Elephas maximus indicus: one gene and its partner. The protein of the gene in region 1 interacts with the protein of each later gene in a biochemical or structural test. Links are inferred from orthologs where the notes say so. Each region holds a gene or a part of one and is shown in the gene's direction. Other genes may lie near its edges.

Evidence for each region.
Region 2: the proteins of DLAT (region 1) and PDK2 form a complex in vitro, tested with the Homo sapiens proteins (2 studies listed by BioGRID). The link is inferred for Elephas maximus indicus from reciprocal best matches to the Homo sapiens genes DLAT and PDK2.

Annotation. Positions count from the first base shown.
Region 1 is NC_064825.1:6,860,630-6,868,361, reverse strand, and holds the start of DLAT (dihydrolipoyllysine-residue acetyltransferase component of pyruvate dehydrogenase complex, mitochondrial), read left to right. Parts: upstream 1-4,716; 5' UTR 4,717-4,781; coding exon 4,782-5,060; intron 5,061-5,494; coding exon 5,495-5,596; intron 5,597-5,893; coding exon 5,894-6,018; intron 6,019-6,178; coding exon 6,179-6,332; intron 6,333-7,732.
Region 2 is NC_064837.1:43,535,262-43,542,760, reverse strand, and holds the start of PDK2 (pyruvate dehydrogenase kinase, isozyme 2), read left to right. Parts: upstream 1-4,497; 5' UTR 4,498-4,518; coding exon 4,519-4,822; intron 4,823-6,927; coding exon 6,928-7,069; intron 7,070-7,499. UniProt on the Homo sapiens protein: Kinase that plays a key role in the regulation of glucose and fatty acid metabolism and homeostasis via phosphorylation of the pyruvate dehydrogenase subunits PDHA1 and PDHA2.

The DNA of each region.
Region 1 (7,732 bases):
GGTACTTAAAATCCCTGTCCAAATGTAGACTGTGGGTCCTTCTGGAGTTCCTTGTCCATGGCAACACAGTGTTTTGTTTTACTCTGAGGACAACAAACCGAAGGCCTTAACCAGTGGGGATGGACAATCCCGCCTGTTTAGGGGCATGGCTGCTATAACCTGGAATCTAAGAATTGGATGCTTCACTCCTGTGTGTTACAGTATTATTTTAATTGGCCTCAGTGGTTGCAGCAATCAGAGTCCCAGCATTTGTACTCACAGACAAGGCAAAGGTACCAGCTTTTCTGCTTCCTTGCAGCTATTGCAAACCAAGAATAACTCATCATGTGGTACCAAAGATGAAGGCCCCACCCTTCATTAATCTTTTGGACTGGACATGGTTGTTGCTGAATTGTTGATTGGATGGGAAAAGGGCTGCCCATGTTGTGCTATACTATTCTCAAAACCACAATTAAGACCTTAGGCTGACTCTTGTGTCTTAACTTGTTCTGCAGTTTGTCCTTTAGCCCAAATGGCATATTTCATGTACTGCTAATTTTCTCTGGGGACTCTTAACTTTAGAGCCATTTTTTTTTCCCTCCAGCTGATGAACTTTGTGTTTGAAAGGAATAAGGAGTGAAAAGCTCCTTAAAAATCCAGGCGGGTATGGAAAGGTGCTGCTACCACATCTTCTTGACTTTCTTTCTCTCGTGACTTTCTTTACCCATCAGGCTCATGGCATCTCCTTTGCAGTCAAAAGGAGACAGACCATTGATTTTATGTTTCTTTGTGATTTATGAGTATTGAGCATGAATTACTGGTATGCCCCTCCTCATCTCAAGACCAGTAGTTATTTTCTATTATATATTTAGTATAGACTGAGCCTTTAGGGCACTATAGAAACCACGGGGCATGGAGCATGAGTTGTGAATGGCAGGGTTGATTCTGGGTGAAAAAAAACAGAATCCTTTTTCATATGCAACATTTTCAAGTGTAGAAACTAAAGGAGTGAAACTTCCAGCAATTACTTAGTAACTTAGGTTTTCTCATTCACTCACTAAGTATCATCAACCAATTAACCATTATTACATATGGTATTCCCAAAAGCATTCTGCCTCTGGCCACCAATGTACACTGCCAACCGGAAGAGTCAGACAGATCAGTTCTGGGTTCTTGACCTGTCTGTCTCTAGTTCATTTCCCCCTTTCAGCCATTTCAACAGACTACTCTTGGAGCTCCGAGATGACCTCTTGTTGTTTTATATAGATGTGTCTTTTTAAATAGCTCATGTTTGGAGAATTCTTTTGTACTCATTTGCTTTTTGTCTGAGAACCATGTCTGTTTTTATAACTTGCGTGTGAGTTCTGTATATTCTCCCATTCTGTATACTGTATCCATTTTTTAGGGAACCCAGTAGCTTTTATACAGGCTCTTCTTACCACCCCTTGTAGTGTCAGAACAAGCTTTATTTTATTACCATGTACTGATGACAACTACTTCCTGTTCTAATTCTACCTGCCAATTTTAGTTGTGGAGGCAATGTTATGTAATCCATGTGATTGCTCCTTCAGGAGACAGAAAGAGCTCAAAAGACATCTTAGTTTCTTTCGTTGTTGTTTACCTGATATTCTTGCTATTGAAGACTTTCTCATCAGAAATTGACTGGGAAAGTAAGTCAAAAGCAAGAATAATTCATTGTGAAAGAAAACAGTACCTTCTCAGTTTATTTTACCCAGGAAGTCTGGAGAAAAAGTCCTCCTGTCACAAATTTCCTTATTGTATGTGTTTTAGTGTTTTGCTATACGACAGCATGAGGATTATCAGACCAAAATTTGTTATTGTAATTCCAGTACAATTTATCTTGAATGTCTCCTAGATTGGTTTTTACTTGCCAGTCTTCTTTGAGCAAACAGTCTTACTATTTGGAATTTGACTTTTAAGAGAAAATTAAATCAGAGGTAATTTCAGGGTTCCTCTACTTTGTTTTACATTGTGTTATCTCTATGTCCTTTGGAAAAGGAGCTGCGTGGGCTCAGCGCCTCCGTCGAAAAGTAAAGCTGAGTTCAGGGGAAGAGGTGAGACATTTTTCCCTCTAGCTGGTTTAGCATAGGTAGTGACTAAGCATCCCTAGTGTGTGATCTTTCATGTAAAATGTGTTGGTGATCCTCCTTCCAGTTTCTAAAGGGAGAGAAGCCTTCTGAGGAGGCATGCTCATTACTTATTCTGTTGTAATCGTCTATTTGCATGTACTATGTGGCTGCACTCTAAGTCCTTGACTTATGCATTGTATTGCCCCCCCCCCCAAGAGGTATTTTGTAGAATAGTCTGTCCTGATACTGCTGGCATTCTCTTTCCTTGGGAAAATTAAGGAACCAGAATGTTTAGATTTATAAAATAATCTCTAAGTCACTTTAAATTAAAAAATAAGTGACCCTCAAATATAAACTAGTAAAGAACTCAATTCTTTAAAAAGTCTTCTTTAAACCTGATGACTGTTCTCTTGCTCAGTGGAACACTTTACAGTTTGTGCCTAAAGAATCCGTGTTAAGTTCACTTGATGATGGCAATTCTACTTACTTACCAACTTTACAGCTCTTTTTGACCAGGATGGATGTAAATTAGGGAAACTATCTCCATGCAGTACATCTAAACTAAGAGGACTCTACCAAAAAGCACTTAGGTCATCATTGTATTTATTTTCATTTTTTCCATAAAACGAGCATTATTATTGCACACTCCTCCTATGTCTGAATTTATGTAAAAGGTATAGCTTGCTTAAAATACATATATATGTAAAGTTATATTTTCTTAGAAACATGGATGTTTGCAACCATTGCTTTCAAAGAGATTATTTCTGTGTATTCTCCGTTTTATGGTATGTTTTCATAAAGATTGTGTTATATCAGAGGTTTCTGATTATCAAAGTGATAACCAGTTTTAACTGCCTGTATGTACCAGAGATTTGTGTACTAATTTAAAAAAACAAACTATGAAAAAAATGGAGTTTGCAAACTATTAATCTTTATCTTCACTTGCATTTATTGATGAAGATTAATCAATAAACCATTTACATTTAATGAAAGTAAATCTGAAGTGATCTCCATGGTAGTATGTTTACTCTCTACTTGGAGAGTGAAGATAAGGATTACTTTATTGCCACAGATAATTTGCTACTGGTATTTCCATGTAAGCACAAAATAGGTTATTCTATCAAAGAGAATTCACTGATTTAGTGCTTCGTTTGGAATTATGTGCAAACAAATGAGAACCTGAGGGTGTAAACTGTATGACAAGTCTCTAATGCAAAAGCAAGAAGCATTCATAAAAGTCTCTTTCAGAAATGTGTATTTAAAAGAAAAAGAATGCCCAAATCAGTTTGAAAGCTGAACACCCAAAACTTAAGCGGGCTTCATTTATCACTTCAAATGAAATGTTCTAGATATATAAATCTTTAGCACTGGGGAAACCCTGGTGACCTAGTGTTTAAGAGCTACAGCTGCTGCTAACCAAAAGGTCAGCAGTTTGAATCCACCAGGCGCTCCTTGGAAACTATGAGGCAGTTCTACTTTGTCCTATAGGGTTGCTATGAGTTGGAACTGACTGAAGGCAACAAGTTTGGTTTTCGGTTTGTAGCCCTGAGAGCCTTCATTTGACTTCCAATTTCCTGTTTTTAATTATTAATTATACCAACTATCATGAAAATGGTGAAGGACCAGACAATGTGTAGTTTTGTTACACATAACGTCGCCATGAGTCAAAGCCGACACTGGACAGCAACTAACATTACTAAGCTCTGGTGACATATTGAAGAACAGTACACAGACAAGATCCCTGCCCTCATCAGCTTATAGTTTAGTTTTGGTATGAAGTATTTAAAACATAAAACTTTTTGCTGTCTAAACGGATTCTATGGTAAATTTTGAGTTAAAGCAAATCTGTTTCATAAACCTTTATCTTCATACAGAGTATATGCTTAATCCCCCTGAAGTACACCTGAATATGGGATTGTGTCTTCCACTTGGCTGCGGTTCGCACCATCTGGCTGAAAAATCAGTTCATTCGGTGGGTTTCTGTTTGGGATTAAATCTTTAAATCTTTGCAATAGGGTCGCTATAAGCCTGAATCGACCCGACTGCAATGGGTTTGATTTGGGGTAAGCCAGTAAGCCGTAATATATATTTATATTATAATTATATAGTAAGCCTGCGCGGGGCAGGGCCCCAAGCCCGGTCACCGTTGGGCACCGTCGGATCAGGAGGGTGCAGGACACTCGCCTGGGCCATGCTGAGCGCCCTTCTTTACAGAAGCGCCCCAAGACCCCGCCCGTGGGCCTGAGGCTCGCGATGCAGGGCCCTTCCACAACACCGGCCCGCGCGGCTCGGCCGCGCCTCTCAGGCCACTGCGCCCCACACCTTGCGAGGCCTGCCCGGTGCGCCTCTCCAGGCCCCTCCCTTCTGACTGGGCCCTTCGCACCTCCTAGGCGCCGTCCTAGCCTTTGGAATGCCTTTCCTCCGACGCCCTGCCTCCCACCTCCCTCCACCTCCTACTTTTTTCCAGGCTTCGGCTGCGTTGGCTCAGCGGGAACGACCCGCGCCTGCGGCTCCGAAGCAGCCCCCGCGCCCGCCCGAAGGACGCGCAGGCCGCCCGCCCGCCCCTAGCCTGGGGAGGGGCGCGGGGGAATCCTCGGGGCCGTTTACGACAACGTGCGGCTGCGCGGCGCGGCTGACGGCAGCGTCGGGTTGCTCTTGGAGAGGTCACTCGGAAGAGGGCGTTGGGTTTGGGGAGTGGGGGTCTGTGGCGCTATGTGGCGCGTCTGTGCCCAGCGGGCTCAGAGTGCAGCCCCGAGGGCGGGTTTCGGGGCTCGGTGCGCAACGTTAAGGGAGAGACCTGGACCTCTGTGCGCGGCCCCGCTTTCTAGCCCGGCTCCGGCGCTTTGCAACGGCACGACCACCGGCTATGGCGGGGTCCGGGCACTCTGCAGCTTCAGCCCCAGCTCTTGGCCCACACCGCGGAACCGCTTTCTGCTGCAGCTTTTGGGGTCACGCGGCCGCCGTTGTCATAGTCTCCCCCCTCATCAGAAGGTGAGCCCCCGACTCGTCCTTCGTGGACCCCGTTGTTCTTCAGGGCAGACTTGGCCTCGAAACCTCCCTCAGGCCTCAGTGATCCTCTCCCCGCCTTGCACTATCTGTCATTGCCCGCCTGCTAACCCAGTTTTGCTGTTGAACTTCCCTCTCCTGATCTGTCCCATTGAGTGAAGAGCCCCAAGCCCGGGGCTTTATGCGAAAAGCCTGCTGAGGCGTTCTCTGTCAGACCCACAAAACTGTGGAGCAGGAAGCCTGTCACTGGAGAGCATGAGCTTCTGGCAGCAGGAACTGTCATTGTATCTTCAGTGCCAGCGTGTAGTGGGACTTAGTAAACTTCGCATTAGATGAGATCGGATTGAATGAAACCTTACACCAGACTGAGAATTAGGTCACCCTTTTTAAGGTTGGCGTTTCTCCTTTTTCTCCTCTAGGTTCCATTGCCTTCCCTTTCCCCCACAATGCAGGCAGGCACCATAGCCCGTTGGGAAAAAAAGGAAGGGGAAAAAATCAATGAGGGTGAACTAATTGCAGAGGTAAGTTGTCGAAGGGACTGCCTAAGCTAAACTGAGCGTTAGGTTTCTGGGTGAGTAGTTACCTGCTTTGCTTAAGACACTATTTTGGTATTTTTTCAGCTTGGAATTAGAGAAGATTTATTAGATAAGTTGTCAGCAGCTGTCCAAACTGATTTTTAGCTAACATTTCTTTTAATGATTCCTTCTTTGAGATCTGTGATAGAGGCTTTGTCACACTGTTGAACTGTGTAATTTCAGACATAAGCTAATAAACTTCATTCTGGCTGCACAAACTGACACTGCTTTTGGTGTTAAAAGGTCGAAACTGACAAAGCCACGGTTGGTTTTGAGAGCCTGGAGGAGTGTTACATGGCAAAGATACTTGTTGCCGAAGGTACCAGAGATGTTCCAGTTGGAGCAATCATCTGTATTACAGTTGAAAAGTGAGTGGTACCCTGAGTATTGTGGAACTTTAGTGCAGAGTGGAGCATTTTAACCCAGAATCGAGAAATTAGGAGTTAAAAAGCTTCTCAAGACCACTTCTCTGGGAGCTGAATCTGCTTTATAACCCCCTTATATTTATGCCTTCTTTCTCTTCCTTAGACCTGAGGATATTGAGGCCTTTACAAATTATACTTTGGATTCCTCGGCAGCACCTACCCCACAAGCAGCCCCAGCACCAAGCCCTGCTGCTGCTGCTTCACCACCTGCATCTTCTGCTCAGCCTCCTGGTAGCTCATATCCCACTCACATGCAGGTGAGGCTCAGCCTCTGAGTGTTTGCTCTAGAGAATTTAGTACTTATTCATCGTTTTTCGTAGATTGCTGCCACATGCTGGAAAGTGGTATTAAACGTGGCTGACTCTTGTCATTTGGGAATAAATAGAGATTTAAGCATGCAAACAACTTGTATTGATCGTTGTTATGTCCAGGTGTGTGAACTTGGACAGCTCCTTTAACCCTTCTGAGCCTCTCTGTAGTGTAGAGAATAATGTTTGAACTTCTTATTCAAGAGCATTAAGTTACAGATCTTGAGGATGATTTGTACTTGTCTCTATTTCCTGTATAAATAGTTTTATAGTGGGTCTCCAGTGCTGTCCGTTGAAAGTCCCCAGTTGGTGTTTTCCTTTGGCATGTGGTGATCTGTTTTCTAAGAGCGGATGAAGTAATCTTGTAGTGTTAATAAACCAGAAACCTGACAATAAAGAAATGTTAGAATAAATATATAATAGCATTGCAATAAAGCTGAAGACAATAAGTGGAATCACTGTTGCATCTATTAACTAAATCAGTTTCTTAGATATTAGAGTTATTCCTTGTGTATTTGTGTGTTTTAGAGATTGGAAATGGAAAAAAAAAAAAGCCACTTTTTTTTTTTAAAGGATTAAGGCTAAAGGTAAAGAACTTTACCTTTGCTTAGTTTATTTATAGGAATTTCTGTGTAAGAACTATTTTTCCCTTTGCACATAATGGTCTACTCCCTGGCCTGTTGATAACAATCATTTTTGATGAAGTTTTGCGTGGTGTTTAGTCCACATGCTTACTTCATCCTGTTCAGCGGATTCTGTCTCACAACGTAAGATCTCGTTCAGTCCTCACCATTATGTGTCTATGGCTTTGTATGAAAGTGCTAGAATTGTGCCTTAATTACCCTTTCAGGTTCTCAATAGAGATTTTTGGGTTAACTAATTTTAAGAAGCAGATAAAGAACAAGAAAAGCACTTAAAAAAATTTTTTTTTAATTAGCATTAAAAGGCTTTACTTTTTTCCTTATCTGAGGCATCATCGATTGAAATGATTTTTCACTCAGCATAGTCCTGTTGCTAATTAGATACGAAAGACTAAGAAGACAGCAAGTGAACCCACAGAAACTGAAAAAGCATCCAAATTTAGTGGACACACAAACCATATAAATAGCAAAGCAATTTTTTATTTAGATCAGCCCATCTGATGTTTGGATTTTGTTGGGGTGGAAGTGACTATTGTGATAATAGTTCTGAATGTTAGTTTTTTTATCTTGGAAAGATATCTGGGAAGTTGAGAATTTCCTGTGAGTGAAAAGACAGATGCTAGGTACAGAGCACAGTAAAATTTTAACAGCATGGTCTGTGCTAAGATCATTGTGTGAAACTGAAAAATTTCAACTTAAGTGTGACAA
Region 2 (7,499 bases), on another chromosome or scaffold:
TCCGTTGTGCATAGGGTCACTATGAGTCAGAATCGACTCGACAGCCCCTAACAACAACAACAACCATATACCCCCACTCTGACTGGTGGGCCCAGTGACATACTGAGTCTCCTGGTATTAGTGTCCGTTGAGAGCTAGTATCCAGTAATCCCTGAAAAGTCTATTTCCTTTTCCCCAACGAACAGTAATTCTCGTAAAAGGCCATAGATCCCTTTGGAAAAGGCTGGAAGAAAGATTAACAGTACAAATTTTTAGCAGTGTAGTGGGGTCCTTCCTCAAGGGAACCTGGCCCCCCCTTCATTTAAGGGGTTTTGGGTCTTCAAACTTGCTCAAGTCTGGGAATTGATTAAAGAGCCGTGACTCTCTATTCTGACAATTCGAATTAGACTGCTGTTCGCTTGACCTAGAATTCATTTGTTTGTACGGATCAAGTAAATATTTCGAAGATTTCCTACCTATTTCACACTTAGGGACACCATGACCAAGTAGCCCACGCCAGAAGTCCATAGGAGCCAGGCTATTCTGATTACTGCTTTGGCTCCATGGTCCATTACGGTAACCATGCCAACCTTGTCTTTGTTGATTGAGCGACACCACTTGGCCCCAACCACCACAAGGTCTAATCAGCCCCATTGTAGTTAGGTGTTTTAACTCAGCTAGGGCAATTCCCACTGTCAAATCTGACTTACATAAAATAGCAATCACAGCAGTCTTTGAGGATGCTGGGGCTCCCCTTCACAAATTTGTTCCTCACCATTGTGGTAAAAGATGTATCCTCTGTGCACTCCATGTGTGGGTCTGTGGGTCTAACCTGATAAATCCACTCTAGCATGCCAATTTTCCTAATCCTGTGGATTCCTTCTTCTATAGTATGCCAAGGCAGGTTTGGTACTTCAGCTTGATTTAGTGTAGGCCACAGCATAATCCACGCTTCAGTAACGCAACCAAATAAACTATTAGATCCTTTCCTAACCTCTTGAGTTGAAACATTTAATGAAGTATCTGTACTTAGTGGGCCCATATCAGTAAATTCAGGCTGATCCATCCTTATCTTCCTTGCACCATTATCCCACACCCTTAATAGCCATTCCCACTCATATTCCCTAGGTTTCTGTTTGTACCCATTAGAAAAGTCAAGCAGTTTTTTTGGAGTGTTGCGTACCTCCTCCTGGGTCACACTTTGTACTTCACCTTTTGGGGTTCCCTGGGAATTTAGCCTAGAAGCCAAAATGGATGGTGGGGATATGTTTTGGGAACATTCAGCATTGTCTTGTAAGGCATCTGCCTCAGGCAACACCCCAGGCAATGACTCAGACAAAGTCTCTTCCGATGTAGCTGGGTGAATCTCAACAAATGGCGGTGGAGAGGTTAATGGTTTTACCAGAGAAGGTGGCTTATCGGATAAAGATGGAGTAATTGCTTCAAATGGGAGTGGGAGGGCTAGTTCTGTTAGCAGGAGTGATTCAACCAAATTTAGGGGCTCAGGGTCCCCAGCTTCCTGATTATCTGCCCATATGTCCCCATCCCAACTTTCAGCATCCCATTTCTGACCAATCAATGCCCTCACCTTAACTTCAGACATCACTTGAGGTTGGGAATTCAGTTGGTGTTGTAATTAAGCCACTTTTACAATAAAATTCTGGGCTTAGTTTTCGGCAATATCAGCTCTATCCTACAGGAAATAAAGTTTTCTTTCAAGACACAAGTGGAAACTTTGAGGTCGTTTATGCAGCGCTTGAGCTTCGACTCTGAGCCCCTGAGCTCATCCCTTTCTTTTACTACTTTGTCTAGAGAAAGTAGGACCAACCAACGAGCTTCCTTATACTTCTCATTATGACAAAATTGTAGAGAGGTACAAGCATGTGATGACCCTGAGCCTCACCTCTCACCAATATGTGATCTATTGGTGGTGATATTTTGCCTATTTCTATTGCCACCTTACGCCATGGATTAGCAGTGCCCTCTTTACCACCGGAAGCAGGGTCATCAATGTCTTTAAGACTAACCAGACTTGAGAATCAATTTAGAAAACTCATCCTTACAATTTTGTTTCTCTAGAACCACTCTCAGCGTCTTATGCTGGGCTCTCTAGAGAAGCAAAACCAGTGAAGCATCTGTCTGTACATAGATAGAGAGAGGGCTTTATATCAAGTAAGTGGCTCATGAAGTTGGAGAGGCTGGAAATCCCAAGTCCATGGGTCAGGCTAGAGGTTTCTCCTGACTCACATAGCTATAGGGGCTGGTGAACCCAAGATCGAAACCACAGAAGCTGACGAACCCCAAGATCGGCAGGCAAGCTGCTAGCTCAAGTCCGAAGAACCGGATGTCAGGTGAACAGGAGCCAGCTGCAGGATCCAGAGCGAGCAAAAGCCTAAGAGCCTTGCCAGAAAGTCCATCTATATTGGATGCAGGCCACAGCCCCAAGGAAACTCCCTTTCAACTGATTGGCTACTCACAGTAGATCCCACCATGAAGAGATCACACTACATAAGATTTCATCATGGAGGTGATTATACATCATTATACAACTGCCAAACTACATCATAACTGCCAAACCACTGAGAATCATGGCCCAGCCAAACTGACACACCACCTTAAAGATCACAGTTGGGATCATTGGATCATATGGCAATTCTATGTTTAACTTTTTGAGGAACCACCAAACTGTTTCCCACAAGTCCTGTTCTTTACAGTCACTTCTGAATGAAGCCTGAGCCTCAGTCTCCGCATCTATAAAATGGGGATAATAACAGTACAATAGCACTGTCTTGAGAATTAAATGAGATAATGTATGCAAACAGTGCCTGGCTCATAAGTTATTATCCATTCAGCTAAGAGTGTCTTCCATTGTGAAGCCTTGTGCATACAACTCTGTGTTAGCTCTCACCATACTCTGTTGTACCTACTTACTTACTTATGCAGCTGTCTTAGTTATCTGATGCTTCTATAATGGAAATACCACAAGTGGATGGCTTTAACAAACAAATTTATTTTCTCACCGTTTAGGAGGCTAGAAGTCTGAATTCAGCATGTTGGATCTAGGGGAAGGTTTTCTTTCTCTGTTGGCTCTGGAGGCAGGTCCTTGTCTCTTCTGAGCTTCAGCTCCTGGGCAATCTTCATGTGGCCTGGGATCTCTCTTCCCCAGTCTCTGCTAGCTTGCTTTTAATCTCTTTTATATTTCAAAAGAGAATGATTTTAGACTAACCTATCCTATTAACATAACAAAGACAACCCATTGCCAAATGAGATTATAACCACAGGCATAGAGGTTAGAATTTACAACACGTTTCTTTTTATTTTTAGGAGACACAATTCAATCCGCAACAGCAGGTATCTCCCAAACTGAGCGCTTGAGGAGAAAGACCATGTTCTAATCCTGCCTGTGTTTCCTGTTCCCAGGAAAAAGCCTAGCACACATTAAAAACCAATTGCTGTGGGGTCGAGTCCTAATCATGGCGACCCCATGAATGTCAGAGTAGAACTATGCTCCATAGGATTTCAAGGGCTAATTTTGGGGCAGTAAATCGCCAGGCCTTTCTTCCGAGGCACCTTCAGGTGGACTCGAACCTTCAGCCTTTGGCATTTGGTAAGTGCGGGCAGAAGACTGAACCCAGGAAAGATGCTATCAAAGTGTTGACCCCTTGGCCCAGTACAGGATATACCACGTTGGACCTCAAGAGGGCCCTGTATGTTCCTTACAGAGAGGCGGGGCTGCTGGGAAAGGAGGACCCAGGGAGGCCGGGACCAGCACAGGCTTCCCCTTCGGCCCCAGCACGAATCATCTCCCGGTACCTCTTTTTAAGGAATCCCAGTGCGAAGAGAGTCGCTTTCTCAGCTAGATGTCCAAAGATTCCTGCTCGGTCAAATGAGCTAGATAATAATGAAAATGTTTTGAAAACGGCACACGTAGACGCTAGCTGTTAGGGCTTTGACTCCGTGTTTTTCAACTGGAGGAGGCGCTTGGATCTTTGTGGAAGTGGGAGGGCCGTATGTCTATATGAGGGATTAATGTAGGCTCGCATCCCGGTTCAGAATTTTGCAAATAATCATCGTCTGGGTCACCGTCATGGAAACTGTCCAAGAAGACTGATTGCTGGAGGGTTGGGGAGAGACTAGGGACCCACAAGACCCCCTCAGGGAAAGTAGGGAGAGATCAGGACAGGTGAAACAAGCACCTTTGCGAAGAAAGTTTAGTTGGAAGCTACCTGGACAATTCAGAGAAGGAAAGGGTTAAAATGAGCCGACAATTGGTGGAGATTTGGGGAGGGAGCAAGGGAAAGGGAGGAAATTGGAGGGGAAAGAAATTAAAAGGCTCGAAGGACCTCTGGGAAGAAAGGAGTTAACCCAGCCTCCGACCCTAGAAGGAAAGGGAGGAGTTAAAGATCAGAGGCGGACTGGCCGCGCCGCCCTCCGAAAACAACAGGCCGCCGCGGGCTGGGACGGGGTTAAGCAGGCGGGCCCAGAGGGAAGCCACGTGCCGGAGCGGAATGTTAGTGGTTCTCCCGTAGTTGTTTGCACATGGCCATTGGCGACGTCGGGGCGCCACAACGAGCCGATTGGCTGGGGTTCAGAGGCCCCCCCCGGGCCAGGGGAAGCTGGCGGCCGAACCGGGTTGCTGAGGCTGGCTGGACCGGGCTGGGCCGAGCCGAGCGCGACAGCTACGCGTGCTGTGACAGAGTCGGAACCCGAGCCGCGGCCGCCGCCATGCGCTGGGTCCGGGCGCTGCTGAAGAATGCCTCCCTGGCAGGGGCGCCCAAGTACATTGAGCACTTCAGCAAGTTCTCCCCATCCCCGCTGTCCATGAAGCAGTTTCTGGACTTCGGTACGGAGAGGCGGGAGGCAGCTGGCACCGGGGCACCGAGAGGGGCAGCCGGGGGATGATTTGGGGGTGATTGGAGGGGTCTAGACAATGAAGGATTAACGAGGAGGAGAAGAGAGGCCCTGAGTGACGGAGGAGGGTTGCTAGGAAGGGTACAGGCAGGAAAAGGTTAACGGGGAGGAAAGGGAAGACCGAGGCATGAAAGGGTTAGGGGCGCCCCAGCTGAAAAGAGACTGTGAACTGAACTACTAATGGGAAGGGGGAGGGGGGAGGGCACTGAGAACGATGGGTCCAAGGTTTCTTCCTGGGCTTTGTGAGGGGTCTTGGGGAGTAAGGGACGGGGGAGGGGGGGCCATTAGGGTAGGAAGGGAGTAAGGTGACATTCTAGCACTAAAGGGTTAATGTGGCATTATGATGACTCTAAGAATGGGGGATAGAGAGGAAATGGGGGGTGCTAGTGGAAGTAACAAGGAAGAGTTGGGGAGGGGTAGCCATCTGGAAGGAGGAGACCTGGGCTGGGCATGGAAAGGTTAGACATTCCTGGATAGACTGAGAGAAAAGCAGGGAGCAGTTGGAGAAGGGGGCTCTCTCAGAAGAAGATGCCAACCAGAGAGGGAGCTCCTGACCAGTAAACCCAATGAAGGATGAAGGATGTGGCTCCCAACCATCCTGGTGGGCAAGGACACTTGAAGATCAAATCTGCCCCAGCCTGGCACCCTGTCCCTAGCTTGGCAGGGCCCTAGCACCATAAGGTGAAGTCAGGTCGCTTGTACCCACCCTTGGCTGCTTCTGGATTCTTGGGCCAGAATCACCCACCACCAGCATCTGGAGGTAGCTGTGGGGCAGGAGCAAGGCGGTACCAACCTGCCAGTTGAAGCAGGCATTGTGTAGGCTCTGTCTGTCCACACAGTATTTCCATGGTGCCAGCTGGAGGTTGGGAGGGGGTGCCCAGGTCTCTGAAGGAGCCCTGGGGGTGCTGTGGTTAAAGTGCTTGTCTGCTAACTTAAAGGTCAGCAGTTCGAACCTATGAGGTACTCCGGGGAGAAAGATGTGGCAGTCTTCTGTAAAGATTTACAGTCTTGGAAACCCTATGGGGCAGTTCTGCTCTGTCCTACAGAGTCCCTGTGAGTTAAAATCTATTCAGTAGCAATGGGTTTTGGCTTCTCTTGGCCCAGGTCTCTGAAGAGTTGAGAAGATAGTGCCTGGCTCAGGTTACAGCTGCGTCACTGACAGGAAGGGGCGGGGAGGGGGCAGTCAGAACACAAGGGCACCTGTTGCCCCAGACTTGTTTGCCCACCTCCTGGGCTTTTGAATCTTGAGCTTCCCCAGTATGGGAAAGCTTCTTGGGCCCACCACTAGCCCCAGCAACTGTCCAGCCCAGACTGGGCCCCAATTAGAAAATGTTGCTGCTGGGAGGGGCCCACAGTAGAGTTCAGTCTGTTCGTAGTATAGTGGGAGAAACAGACCTTCAGAAAGATGGTGACACACTCTGAGTGACAGAGTTGGAAGGAGAGCCTGGACTAGAACCCAGGTCTCCTGACTCTAGGCCATGGCCTTATTCAGACTTCCAAGCCCTCTTCTTAAAGACAGGCCTCGGTTTGGGGCTGCTGTCCTTGGGCCCTGTTTGCCTTACAGGCAGGCATTAATGCAGGGTGCCACTCTGCAGTGGGCATCAGGAGCAGCCTGGAAGAGACCACACTGGGACCCTGCAACCGCAGTGGTCCCGGTTTAGTCCCCCACCCTGGGTAGGGATAGATTTCCCAGACTGCTCTGCCCACCTGGATCAATCCCCCAAAGTGAATGTCCAGAAGAAAAGAGAAGACTGAGGTGACTTAGGCCAGAGGCCGCTCCAAGTGGGCCCAGGGATGGGTGGCCCTGTCCCCCATGGTTAAAGGTTCACCTGGAGGTGGGGAGAGGATGCAGCCCCCTGGAAGGTTAGGCATGGTGTATGGAGGTTTGAGCATGCAGGGGAGGAGACCTGTGTTGCTCTGTGCTCTTGGTCAGGCTGCTTCCTCTCTGAGCCCTCAGTACACGAAGAGCCTGACTGACCTGTCCTCTGGCTCTTCTAGTTTGAAGTTCTTGGGCTCACCCCTCTCTCCTTCCCCCAGGGTCCAGCAATGCCTGTGAGAAGACCTCTTTTACCTTCCTCAGGCAGGAGCTGCCGGTGCGCCTGGCTAACATCATGAAGGAGATCAACTTGCTTCCTGACCGGGTGCTGAGCACACCCTCGGTGCAGCTGGTCCAGAGCTGGTGAGACCCCTGGCCAGGGCCCTGCACCCTCCCACTCCATTGCCAGGTGTCCCTGGGCTCAGGGATGGAGGCTCCATGCTCCCAGCAGCCTTGATGGGGTGGGGGCAGAGCAGAGGCACAGGGGCTCAGGGGGCCAGGGAATTGCCCAAGGTCATGTGGGAGTCCTAGGCCAGAGCAGGGACTAAGATCCAGCTCCTACCCTCCAGTGTCTACGGGACAGCCTTATATTCACCATCCTCCTTTCTCCAGAAACCCAGGATCCGTAGTTTGGGTAAATCATAGTTGGCCCAAGTCCTGGGACCTCGTGGTTTTCACAGCTAAAATTCCAAATCAGACTGATGTCAGCATTAGCCACAGCCCTGGCCCTGGAAGCCCAGCATGTGCTATGTTAGGCTTTGCCTTTGTTGAATATTTATCTGGGTTTACTTTT